Tribolium castaneum: one gene and its partners. The protein of the gene in region 3 purifies or fractionates together with the protein of the main gene of each other region. This does not show direct contact. Links are inferred from orthologs where the notes say so. Each region holds a gene or a part of one and is shown on either strand. Other genes may lie near its edges.

Region 1 (3,755 bases), on a different chromosome or scaffold from region 3:
TTTTACCAGTGAGCTGGTGCACCAGTTTTGGAGCAGCCTGTATATTTCTTGAAAGAGATAAAATTATGAAAAGAAAAACTGACTTTGTGGTTATAGATATTTCGCCAGTTGTCCAGTTACCGCTCGTAAAACGTCTAAAAACTAATAACCTGATAAAAATTTATTTCAAGGTCGACAATTATTTATGTTTCTAGTATACCTAAAGATACAAACCAAATTTTTTAAGACTATTTGCCATTTTCACCTTTAACATGTCATAATTTTGCAAATAAAAATTACTACTAGATAAAGCATAAAAAGTCCGATCGAAAAGATACAGAAGATGGTTTCATAAACTATAAAGCTGCATTCAAACTTAAATATCTATTTTCGCATTGGAGTAATAAGGTAAACATCACATCGAGATCCTATAAATATGACTAATAAATAACACACTTTGTACAACGGAAGACAAGCAATTTTGGCACGTCATCCAAAAATAAAATACAAATATATTGTCCAAAAATATTTACGAAGTGCATTCGAAGCAGGTGTTACAACAGACTATAAACAAAACTTTTCAAGAATGTTTCCAATTGTGAATTCAGCCACTCCTTCAGCAGGAAAAACTAATTATTTCCCAATAATTATAAGTGGTTCGAATTTATGATCATTTGCGCCAATAAAACTCCAGGACCGTATCGACACATTTTCAAATAATCAATTCCGGTTAATTAGGTCGCGAATTTAGAACGTCGAAAAAACGCAATCATCCGCAATACCTTTCGGTTACCTCCCCAATTACCCGAAAATTACATAATTAGGAACATAACACTTTTCAACTCCTCGCTAAATCGCCCATCGTCCCTCATCGGCTCCGCTTCGGCAAACTCCGGCACTGATATTAAAATGGAGTCTAGTTTACAAGCACAACGATTTGTAGTCGTTCAGACGGTGCGTTGCAAAGTGAAGTCTCTTTTTCGGCCGTTTTTCAGCGGAACCTAAGGGAAAAGTGGCCCTCAAAGGGCATCAAACGAAAGCTGAAGCCACGCCGGACACGTTGAAGGTAAATTTTTTGACATTTATGTAATCTGTGAGGAGTTTTCGCCCAAAACGATAGCCAACGTCGATCTCCGCAGTGGCATACATGTTTGTTCCGGTGTGCGCGTGCGCAGTGCCGATTTTTTGCGGGAACTTGGGGTGCCGGGCTTTTTCGAAATTTTCGTAAATTTAGAAGGGCCACCGCTGAGGTGAACTTCGGAGAGGGTTATTTAGTCGGGAGTTTGCTCAGTGGGAAGGTTCCTAATTGAACACTGCTTTCGCGGGTTTGTTATCAAATTGCGGGAATCCGGACGTTTATTATACGCTCCGGCCGGAATTTAACGTCACATTTTTAGTTTAATTAATTTAATCGATGGTAATTAATTATCTGATTTATTTGAGGTGTTGTGTATTATACCGATTACGATAAGAATAATTTATTGCAGTTATTGGTGCATTTAGATTGGTCATAAATATTTAATGTGTTGACGGATTAAATTAGAAATAGTCAAATCCTTGATCTTAGACAACTGTAACCGAAGTGCGACCGAAAAATCAGAATACACGCAACGGCTTGTACAAGAATACAGAGTATTTATAAAATGTCTATCATCAAGTCACCTAAGTCGAATTTAATCGCTATCTTCTGTCAATATACTTACATTACACCCAGATATTTGTAATTAATTTGTAATTTGGCTGTTTGACAAAAATGCATGTTTGCATGAATAATGGCAGTTTTGTTGTTACTTTTTTTGTAATAAGAATCTTTTATCGTTGATATTGCGTGTGGGTTATTTATTTTTACATATTTCATTGATAAAAAATCCAGGCATATAATATATGATTACTTCGTTGCCAACACGTTAGATCTTGTTACAACTGACATTTTGCATATTGAAAATATAGCCAAGCTTCAAACCGTGCCGAAACCAAGAAATAGTTGAGTATATACGGGGTGAGTCTGCTAAAAGTATGTTTCACTATTCTCAGAAACTAATGGTCGCACCGCATTCAGTATTCACTGTTAAATACATAGTGACGGTTTATAGAAGCGTCAATAATCTAATTCGCAATTAAATGCGTGATCAACTGATCACGTGAACAAATGATTGGTCTATTCACGTTGTTAACTTTTAACAACGAATTAAAATTTAAGGGAGCTTTCTATAAACCGGCCTATTAAGTTTTTTGCTATGTATGTGAAATTTTTCCAAATTTTTTTACTCTTCTTTACAAGGTGATTCAAAAGTGTCGGACAAACTCTCGTATGGTGATAAAAGACATTCAATTAAGGACAAAAATGAAGTTAAATATTTTTTCTAAGAAGTCATTTTTTTATATATTTTTTAATTTGTTTTCTTTAGCAGGTGTATCGATTTTTGCTCTTTTGTTTCCTATGATGTCGAATTTTATTTATTAGCGAATTTGCGAGTTTTTTAATTGTTTTGTACATCATATGACATTAATTTTTGATTTTTTTGTCGTTTACGCAAAACGTCAAAAAACATGTAATCTGAATCACCAAAAACTTAACTGAAAAATTCTACTTTGAGTAGTTATAGCTCGTGGAAAAAGGCTAAAACAATTTTTGTCATAGGAATTTTTAATTCTCTTTGATGTCCTTTATCCGCACCCGAGAGATTGTCCGGTAATTTTGAATTACCGTTAAGTTAATTTATTAAATTTGTATTAATATAATGAAATTAAAAAAATGGGGTTGGTTTATGGAATCGTCATTATTTTAATCCACAATTAAATGCGTGATTAACTGATCACATGACCAAATTAAAGCAATTTGGTTGGTCCATTCGCGTTGTTAACTTTTAACAAGGCAGTTAACTTTAATTGAGCTTTCTATAAACCTGGTAAATGCGCCCAAAGAATTATATTTTAATAAAGCTTTCTATAAACCGACCCTTAGTGTTATTCTAAAACAACGATGTCTAAATGTTTTCGAGCAAAAATTCTTATAAAATAAATTTTGGTAGCCCTAAAATTACGTTTATTTAAATTTTGAATTTATAACTTTATTTATTATTTTTGGGGCTAGCGACATTTTTTATGGATTTTTATCACAGGACAACATTTAAGTATTGCTTGTTTTCAGATGACACAAAAAATAACAGTTAATAATAATTAATAATTCATAAATTTTAGGACCGGTTTATAGAAGCGTCATTAATTTCACTGATTAACAGATCACGTGACCAAATTGAACCAATGTGATTAGTCTATTCGCCTGTGATTAGTTTATTCGCGTTGTTAAGTTTTAACAACGAATTAGAAATTAATGAAGTTTTCTATAAACCGGCCTATAATTGCTTAAGGAATTGTAGAAAAATTCTGAAAAAAATAAATTAAATTAAGTTTTCAGTTGATTTTAAGAGATAATAATTAAATTGCTTGCAAGTGGTTGAAATAAATGAAATATTACGATAGATTTTTTTTGGGTAAAATATTTATACATGGTGTTGGTAAAAACAACGGTGTAACCCTTCGCTTACTGCAAAATTACAAAAAAATGTAAAATGGCCATTTTTTTCTAACTAATTTGTCTTTACAGCTAGAACTTAAGTAATAATATTGTCTTATTAGGAAGAAGGTTTTAAATAATTGCAAAAGACGAAATACCTACTAGACAACATTTAAAAAAAACTAAGAAGAATCTTTGCCTTGAAACACCTTTACCTTTACATTTCCTTATAAGTTAATTAATTTAGTTAAATTTAAAT
Region 2 (3,755 bases), on a different chromosome or scaffold from region 3:
AGAAGCTGGTCATGCAGATTACGACGACGGCGTGCCAGGGGCAGAGCACCGAGGTGAGGTATCTGGAGCACGTGCAGGCGGTGCTAACGGTGAATGCGAGTCGGAGGGGCGACCTGGAGCTCTTCCTCACGTCGCCGATGGGCACCAGGTCTATGATTCTCAGTCGAAGGCAAAACGACGATGATACGAGAGATGGGTTTACGAAGTGGCCTTTCATGACCACGCATACGTGGGGGGAGTACCCGCAAGGGACGTGGGTGTTGGAGGTGGGTGGTTTTTATTAATTTTTTACATTTATTTTTGAAATGTTTGAACTTGATTACGTGGAAATTGGGGTTGTAGGACACAGGATAAATTAAATTAAATTCGTTACGACGTTTCGATACTTTATTGAATATCTTCAGTCAAATTTATTATTATTATTTTTGTTTCAGGCCAGCTTCAATTCGCAGATGCCGCAAACGGGCTTTGTCAAGGAGTGGACTTTGATGCTGCACGGCACAAAGGAGCCCCCTTATACGGAATTGGCGGTTTTGGACCCACATTCCAAGCTTGCTATAGTGAAGAAGGCGCATGAAAATCGAATGAAGATGTAATTGGTCTCCAGTTTTGGTTTATTTATTTGTTAAAGATTTGATAAAGATTCATATATTTTTAAGTAGAGAGTAGCGATATACTGAAATATTTAAATAAATCCATCAATCTCTAACTGTACTGTAATAAAAGCATGTGATTATATAAGAAGTATAAAATATCAAGTAATTATTGGATTTTATTTTTACAAATTGTTGGACAAGAGCTTATATTTTGTATAGCGTTCATTATTCAAATATATATTAACTGAAAGAGATTATTTATTACAGTGCAAGCGATGAATCTCATGCAATTGTACAAAATTGTAAATTGTTTACAATATAAACTTTATTTCCGATTGTGATTTTGTTTGCTTCTGCTGGCCGACAACTGTAAATAAAACTAGACATTTAACCAATTTTTATTGCTTGTTTTATTTATTTAAGATTGCTTCATAGTTTTACAAATTCAAATCTTCAATTCAAACAGCTCGTATCTTTTTTGAGGCGCATGTGCACACCCAACCAGAAGCATGGCATAGATGGTCTCAAATTTATTCGGAGCAAAGACCAATAAATAAAACTACATTTTTACTAAAAAACTTTTATTCAATTTAATCAACTCACACCACGTTTAAATTAGAGATTTTATGGTCGTAAAGCGCAACCAGCAATACACATCCAGAAAAACAGTTTTACAGTATTTTTGCTAATAAATTTCAACATTGAAACCAGTTTCGGTTTTTCTGAACAAACAAAACTGTTAAATTGTTGTTAATTAGAAGTGTATTCCATTGGTATCGTTTCAAATTAATTTAGTAACTTTGCTGCTCAAAATTAGACTGGTAAATCTTCTGTCACTGTTTGCCAACATCAACATAACCCAACTTTCCTATTTGTCAAAACGTACTTTTTACGATGGAAATAAACGACGATTCCAACGAGCAAATGTCGGTCAACTCGGACTCGGACTCCGACTCCGGGGACGACCAAGAGGAGCAAGTAAGGGCCTCCACAATCCTCCAAAATTTTTCTAACTCTAAGAGTGTCTCAGGCCCTCCTCACTCGTGCTGAAGACCTCGAACGCCAAATCTCCGACAACAAGTACCTCTACAATGCCCACGAAGAGCTCGTCAACTTGTACCGAAAACTGGGGGACTTGAAGTCGATGCGTCTGGCGTACGAACGCTTCCAAGAGTACTTCCCCCTAACCCCCGAGATCTGGCTCGCGTGGATCAACGACGAGAAAAAGTTAGCGAGCTCCGAGAGCGAGATTAAGAATATTTTCGGGCTTTTTGATAAAGCCGTGGAGGATTATTTGTGTAAGTTGGTCAGGTAGCCTGAAATTAGATTGGCAAGCCTGACACGTTTTTTCAGCTGTGAATTTGTGGGTGGAGTACGCGCAGTACTCGATTGGGGTTAGCACCCTTGACACGACACGTGTGATAATCGAGAGGGGTTTAACCGCCGCTGGGTTACACGTGGCCGATGGGAGCCTCCTGTGGGACACTCTCCGGGAGCTGGAATTCGCCCATTTGTCCCTGACGGAGGCAGGGAGCGAGCCATGGAAAACCCAAGTGGAAAAAATCGTGGAGGTTTTCCGGCGCCAACTCTCAGTGCCGCTCCTTGACATGGAAAACACTTACAAGGAGTGGAAAGAGTGGCTAACGCAGGTGCAAGACCACAAAATCAATGCTGAACCGGTGGAGTGGGGCTATAACAAGGCTTTGAAAACCTTAGAGACCTACAAGCCGTTCGAAGAAAAACTACAAGTAACAACGGACGAATCGCAACTATTACGAGTTTATCGCGACTACGTCAAAGTCCTAACGGACCCCTCGACAATTTTGTGTCTTTATGAACGCGCAACGGCCCAGATGTGTCTCAACCCGGAGATTTGGCTCGATTATTGTCTCTACGGCCTGAAACTGGGAGCCCCAGCTGAAAAAATCACAACTAAGGCTTTGAGAAATTGCCCCTGGAGTCAAGAATTGTGGATTATGCGCCTACAAGTCCTTGAAAGTCTCCAGAAGGATAATAGCGAAGTTGTCGCTTGTTTCGAGCAGGCTGTGTCAAATTTAGGCGCCCAATCAAGCGAGCTGTGGCTCGCCTACTTAGAATACGTCTCACGGACGTGCCAAGACCAAGCCAAAGTTTTCAAATCTTTTGACCAAGCCTTAGAACAACTAAAATATAACGACGAAGGCGCCCTCAAAATCACAAAGTGGTATTCGAGAATTTTGGCCAAAAATAACAACATGCAAGGGGCGCGAAACCTCTGGAAAAACCTACTCAAAAGCCCGAACCACAAAATCCTGGCCAACACTTGGCTGGAGTACGCGCGGCTTGAACGCCAGTTCGGGGAACCCCCGCAAGTCCGCGCCATTTTCCAGAAAGCCCTAACCAATTGCACCGACTGGCCCCTGTTTATCGCCGACGAATGGCGTGAGTTCGAACGCGAGTTCGGTAAACTACCCGACGTTCTAAAATGCCTCGAAAAACGCAAAGAAATCGAACCGAAACTAAAAACGATTGAGCCGCCGAAAGCCACCGGAACCAAACGAAAACACCCGAGCGAAGCCGAACCCCCGCCTAAGAAACACAAAAAGCAGGCGGTGGTCAAAGACCCGACTCGCACAATTTTCGTCAGTAATCTACACACTAGTGTGAATGAAAAACGACTGAGGAAATTCTTCCCCAATTGCGAAAATGTCGAAATTGTGGTCGATAAGCGGGGGAAGTCCCGGTGTTATGGGTACGTGCAGTTCGCCCTTGAGGAGAGTGTCATGGCGGCGCTGGCACGTGACCGGGAGCTGCTTGACGGCCGCCCTATTTTTATTTCCAATTGTAAGCCGAATCGTGAGGAGCGGAAAGCCGGCTTTAAGTACTCGAATGAACCCGAGACCAATAAACTTTTCGTTAAGGGACTCCCCTATGACAAGTCGCAGGAGGAAATTGAGGCGATTTTTCGGCCTTTTGGGGCGAAAACCGTGCGTTTGGTGTGTCGGCGAGATGGTAAGCCAAAAGGACTCGCGTATGTTGAGTTTGAGGACGATGCAAGTGCTAAGAAAGCCATGGAAAAGACCGATGGGATGACAGTCGGGGACTTTACCATCAGTGTGGCAATTAGCGCGCCCCCTGTCAAGAAACCAACAACAGTTGCAAAAAGTACACCAACACGGC
Region 3 (3,755 bases):
TCATGTTTGGATCAAGGAACCAAAATATAACGCATAAAATTATATTGTACACAGGCCATTCCAAATTTTAACGCCCGCCAAAAAAGAAATTAAAACTTAATCCCTTGTTAAAAGTTAATCCGCGGTGAATTTAAGCATCTGATTGGTCAAATTTAGTCACGCGATCAGTTTATCTGACTTTTGATTGCAAGTAACAAGAAACCTTTTTACACATATATTTTTATTTTCACAACAAACTCACAAAAATAAATAATACATTAATTTTTATCAAGCTATTATGCAACTGGTGATGGGCTGTTGTTTACAACTTCGTGGTTCTTTTCCTTGAGCCACTTCATCAATGATCGCAGAAAGGTCGTCATAGTCAGGATAAGCAAGGGTAGTTAATTTAGAATGAACCAAAGTCCCATTGACTTTAACTTCAAATGTGGCTCTCCTGCCTTCATGCCCATTCAGTTCAATATCGGGGTGTTTGGCTTTAATATGCTGCGCTAACTCTTCGAACTTTTTAAAATATCCACAAGTCCCACTACAAATAATCTCTGAAATGATATAAATAAAACTAAACCATCTCCATTTTTTTTACCAAAACTCAACATCGACTTCAACCCCCATTGTAAGTTAATCCAATCGAGGGATTATGGCCTCTCCCTTATTCTATGGCTATGGCTTTATGGCCCTTCCTGATTTTTTTATTTATTTACACTTGTCACATGCCCATAACCCCTAATTGTCATTTTGACATGGGGATTGTCATTGGGATATAGGGTATTTCCAGTTTGTTCCGTTGGTGTTGTCCAATTTTTGACTTCTAACCTAAAATCGTGTGTGTAAACGTTGGAAATCGTATCTTGATAATTGTTAAAAAAGCCAAAAATGTCGTACCTCTCCCGGCGAGAAGTGGAGGACTTGAAACCCTCTATAGACAAAGCCGTTTACAAACTGCTCGGCAGCAGTGATAGCTCCCTGGTCAGTACCGCAGTCCATTGTTTAAATTCAGGGTACGATAGGCGCAAAACTACTGACAAACTTTCGTCTTATGTTGATAGCAAAAAGGCGACAAGACTAGCCGAAAAGATATTTGATTTAGTCGAAGACTATCATGCCTCGCATCGGTCGAAAAAACGATCGCGTGACGATTCCCGAGAACGAGACTCAAAGCGCTCGAAATCGCGCTACGACGATAGAGACAGTAGACATGACTCCGACCGCAACAAATCCAAATCGAGCGAGATCATGGAAAGCGCCCAGAAACAAATCGAGGAGCGGAAGCGGGCCCTAATTGATGGGCTCGCCTTGGGCAAGAACAACATCAACATGAACATACCCCAGCCCAGCATTTACGGCATCCCCATGGGGCTCCTCAACAGGGGCGACGCCGACAAGGCCCGCAAAATCGCGCAACTGCAAGCCCAGATCAAGAGCAAGCTCTCCAGCGGGATTTTGACCAACGCCATACAAATACCAGTGGTGCCCAACAGGCCCACCCCCCTGATCCTGGACGACGAAGGGAGGACCATCGACAAGACGGGAAAAGCGGTGCAACTGACCCACGTTGTCCCAACACTTAAGGCCAACATCAGGGCCCAAAAGCGCGAACAGTTCAGGACGCAGTTGAGCGATAAAACGGACGACAGTAACGAAATGAAATTTTACGATGGGAGAATTGGGATAAAGCCGCCGATTCGGAACAAAAGACAGCTTAGGTTCCACGAACCCGGCAAATTTTTACAACAGGCCGAGCGGCTTCGTATGAAAGTATGTCTGGGTTTTTTGTGGAAGTGTGTTGGGTCATAATGAATTTTTTTTCAGGCCCAGTTGGAAAAACTGCAAAATGAAATTTCACAAATTGCGAAAAAGACCGGCATTTCGTCGGCTACTAAGCTTGCGCTTATTGCAAAGTCTGAGGGGGTGATTGAGGACATACCGCAGATGGAGTGGTGGGATTCCGTTATTTTGATCGATAATTTAGATTTGATGCTCAATGGGAAAATCGCAATAAAGGAATCTGTAATTACCACGTTGGTTGAGCATCCAACCCAGCTGAGGTGTCCAAGTAAGAACAACTATTTTTATTTTTTTATTTTCAGTCTCCCGTCGGGAAATACGTTGAGTTATATAAAAAAATGTGATTTATTCTCGGTTTCTTATATAAGAATTTTTCTGGTGTAATAAACGTAATGATAATGATAATTTTGGTTCAGTTTTGCGAAATTTCGGCTTATTGTGGGTGGAATTCTGTGAAACAAATAAACTGATTGCAAAACATTAGAATTTTTTACTTATTTTATTGATTATTCTGTCGCTTTTATTGACCTACTTTGGCGATTTTTCGGCTCAGTTTAATAAAATCCCTTGAAATAAGTATGTTTCTGGATAAAAAACGGACTACAGCGCTTGAAAGAGTAAAAGAAAATTTCACTTTTGAACTTATTCAGTGTTTTTGGATCCTGTTTACTGAATTTTCGTCGGAACAACTTCGTTTAAAACACGCAAAGGCCTCGAAAAAAGCAAAAAAAAACTATTAATGAGCTAATTATTGAATCTTTTGTCTGATTTAATTGAAATCCCCCTAAATAATTGTGTTCCTGACTGAAAAACTTGCTAAAACAAATGTCATTTTTGGCTTCATTTGCAGAAAAAAACTATTTTATTCCAACAATCTGTTTAAGTCTTTGAAAAAAGTGAAATATAACGCTGTTTTTTTATCTAGTTTGGTGATTTTTCGTCTTATTTTTGAAGAAATTCATCGAAAACTTGTTATACCTTCGGATGAAGCAAAAATAATGTAATACTTGCCCTAACTTAGTCTTTATTTGGCAATGTTTAGCGAAATTTCGCGAAAATTTAAGTCTTCTTGACCATACATCAGCATAATTTGACGATTTTCATTTTATTTCTGACCGAAATTTACCAAAATAATTGGATATCTGTCTAAAAAATGTGTTAAAACAATCGAAATGATCGAGAGTGATGTAATTTTTGGTTTATTTAGTGATTTTTTTTCCTCACTAAATTGACAACTTTTCGGATTATTTTAGTGAAATTCTTTGAAATAATTATTTCTAATTGAAAAACGTGTCAAAACGCCCGAAAGTTGAAGAAATAATGCCATTTTCAACCATATTTAGTGACTTTTGTTAGTAAATTTTCTCCAAAAAAAAAGTTTTTAGTTCAAGAACGTCTTTGAACTGTCGAAAAAAGCAAATGAAATACTTTTTTCGACATAATTTAGCGATTTCTAGGCTTGTTTGTAAAGATATTCTTCGAAATAATTGTTTCTGGCTCAAAATCTTGCGCTAAAACGCTCAAAAAAGAAGAAAATAATGTCATATTTGACCTTATTTAAATTATTTTTGAGTCACAGTTAGCGAATTTTCGCTAAAGAAAACTTAATTTCTTATCTTAAAAACACGTTTAAGCCCTCGAAAACAAAACAACATCCTAAGTTAACGATTTTCCAGCTTATTTTTGCAGAAATTCAACGGAATAATCACTCTCAATAAATGTGTTTTTCCTTAATTTCCTGACCTTATTTAAGTGATTTTTGGGTCCCAGGTAGTGAATTTTTGCCAAAAACCTTACATTTGATGATTTTTGAGCTCATTTTTGAATAAATTTGTCGACATCATTGCTTTTCTAGCTCACAAACTTGCTAAAACATTCGAACCTCGTTTTTGTCCATTTTTTGAGCTTATTATTTTAGCAATTTTTGGTCGAGTTTAGCGAAGATGGGGTTAAACGCTTGGAAAGAG

What was found. Proteins that work in one complex are often made in the same cells at the same time.
Region 1: the proteins of Prp3 (region 3) and 7SK snRNA methylphosphate capping enzyme bin3 purify together in Homo sapiens (affinity purification with mass spectrometry; 4 studies listed by BioGRID and IntAct, counting the BioPlex papers as one, with this or other methods). This does not show direct contact. The link is inferred for Tribolium castaneum from reciprocal best matches to the Homo sapiens genes PRPF3 and MEPCE.
Region 2: the proteins of Prp3 (region 3) and Rnp4F purify together in Homo sapiens (affinity purification with mass spectrometry; 5 studies listed by BioGRID and IntAct, counting the BioPlex papers as one, with this or other methods). This does not show direct contact. The link is inferred for Tribolium castaneum from reciprocal best matches to the Homo sapiens genes PRPF3 and SART3.

Annotation. Positions count from the first base shown.
Region 1 is NC_087395.1:19,351,048-19,354,802, reverse strand, and holds the start of 7SK snRNA methylphosphate capping enzyme bin3, read left to right. Parts: upstream 1-890; 5' UTR 891-1,045; intron 1,046-3,755. UniProt on the Homo sapiens protein: S-adenosyl-L-methionine-dependent methyltransferase that adds a methylphosphate cap at the 5'-end of 7SK snRNA (7SK RNA), leading to stabilize it.
Region 2 is NC_087396.1:21,413,724-21,417,478, forward strand, and holds the start of Rnp4F (squamous cell carcinoma antigen recognized by T-cells 3), read left to right. Parts: upstream 1-1,285; 5' UTR 1,286-1,490; coding exon 1,491-1,574; intron 1,575-1,626; coding exon 1,627-1,894; intron 1,895-1,949; coding exon 1,950-3,755. Other genes in the region: amon (neuroendocrine convertase 2), read left to right, coding at 1-266, 435-596. UniProt on the Homo sapiens protein: U6 snRNP-binding protein that functions as a recycling factor of the splicing machinery. Promotes the initial reassembly of U4 and U6 snRNPs following their ejection from the spliceosome during its maturation.
Region 3 is NC_087397.1:1,257,908-1,261,662, forward strand, and holds the start of Prp3 (U4/U6 small nuclear ribonucleoprotein Prp3), read left to right. Parts: upstream 1-876; coding exon 877-1,758; intron 1,759-1,812; coding exon 1,813-2,056; intron 2,057-3,755. Other genes in the region: migration and invasion enhancer 1, read right to left, coding at 268-529, 587-615. UniProt on the Homo sapiens protein: Plays a role in pre-mRNA splicing as component of the U4/U6-U5 tri-snRNP complex that is involved in spliceosome assembly, and as component of the precatalytic spliceosome (spliceosome B complex).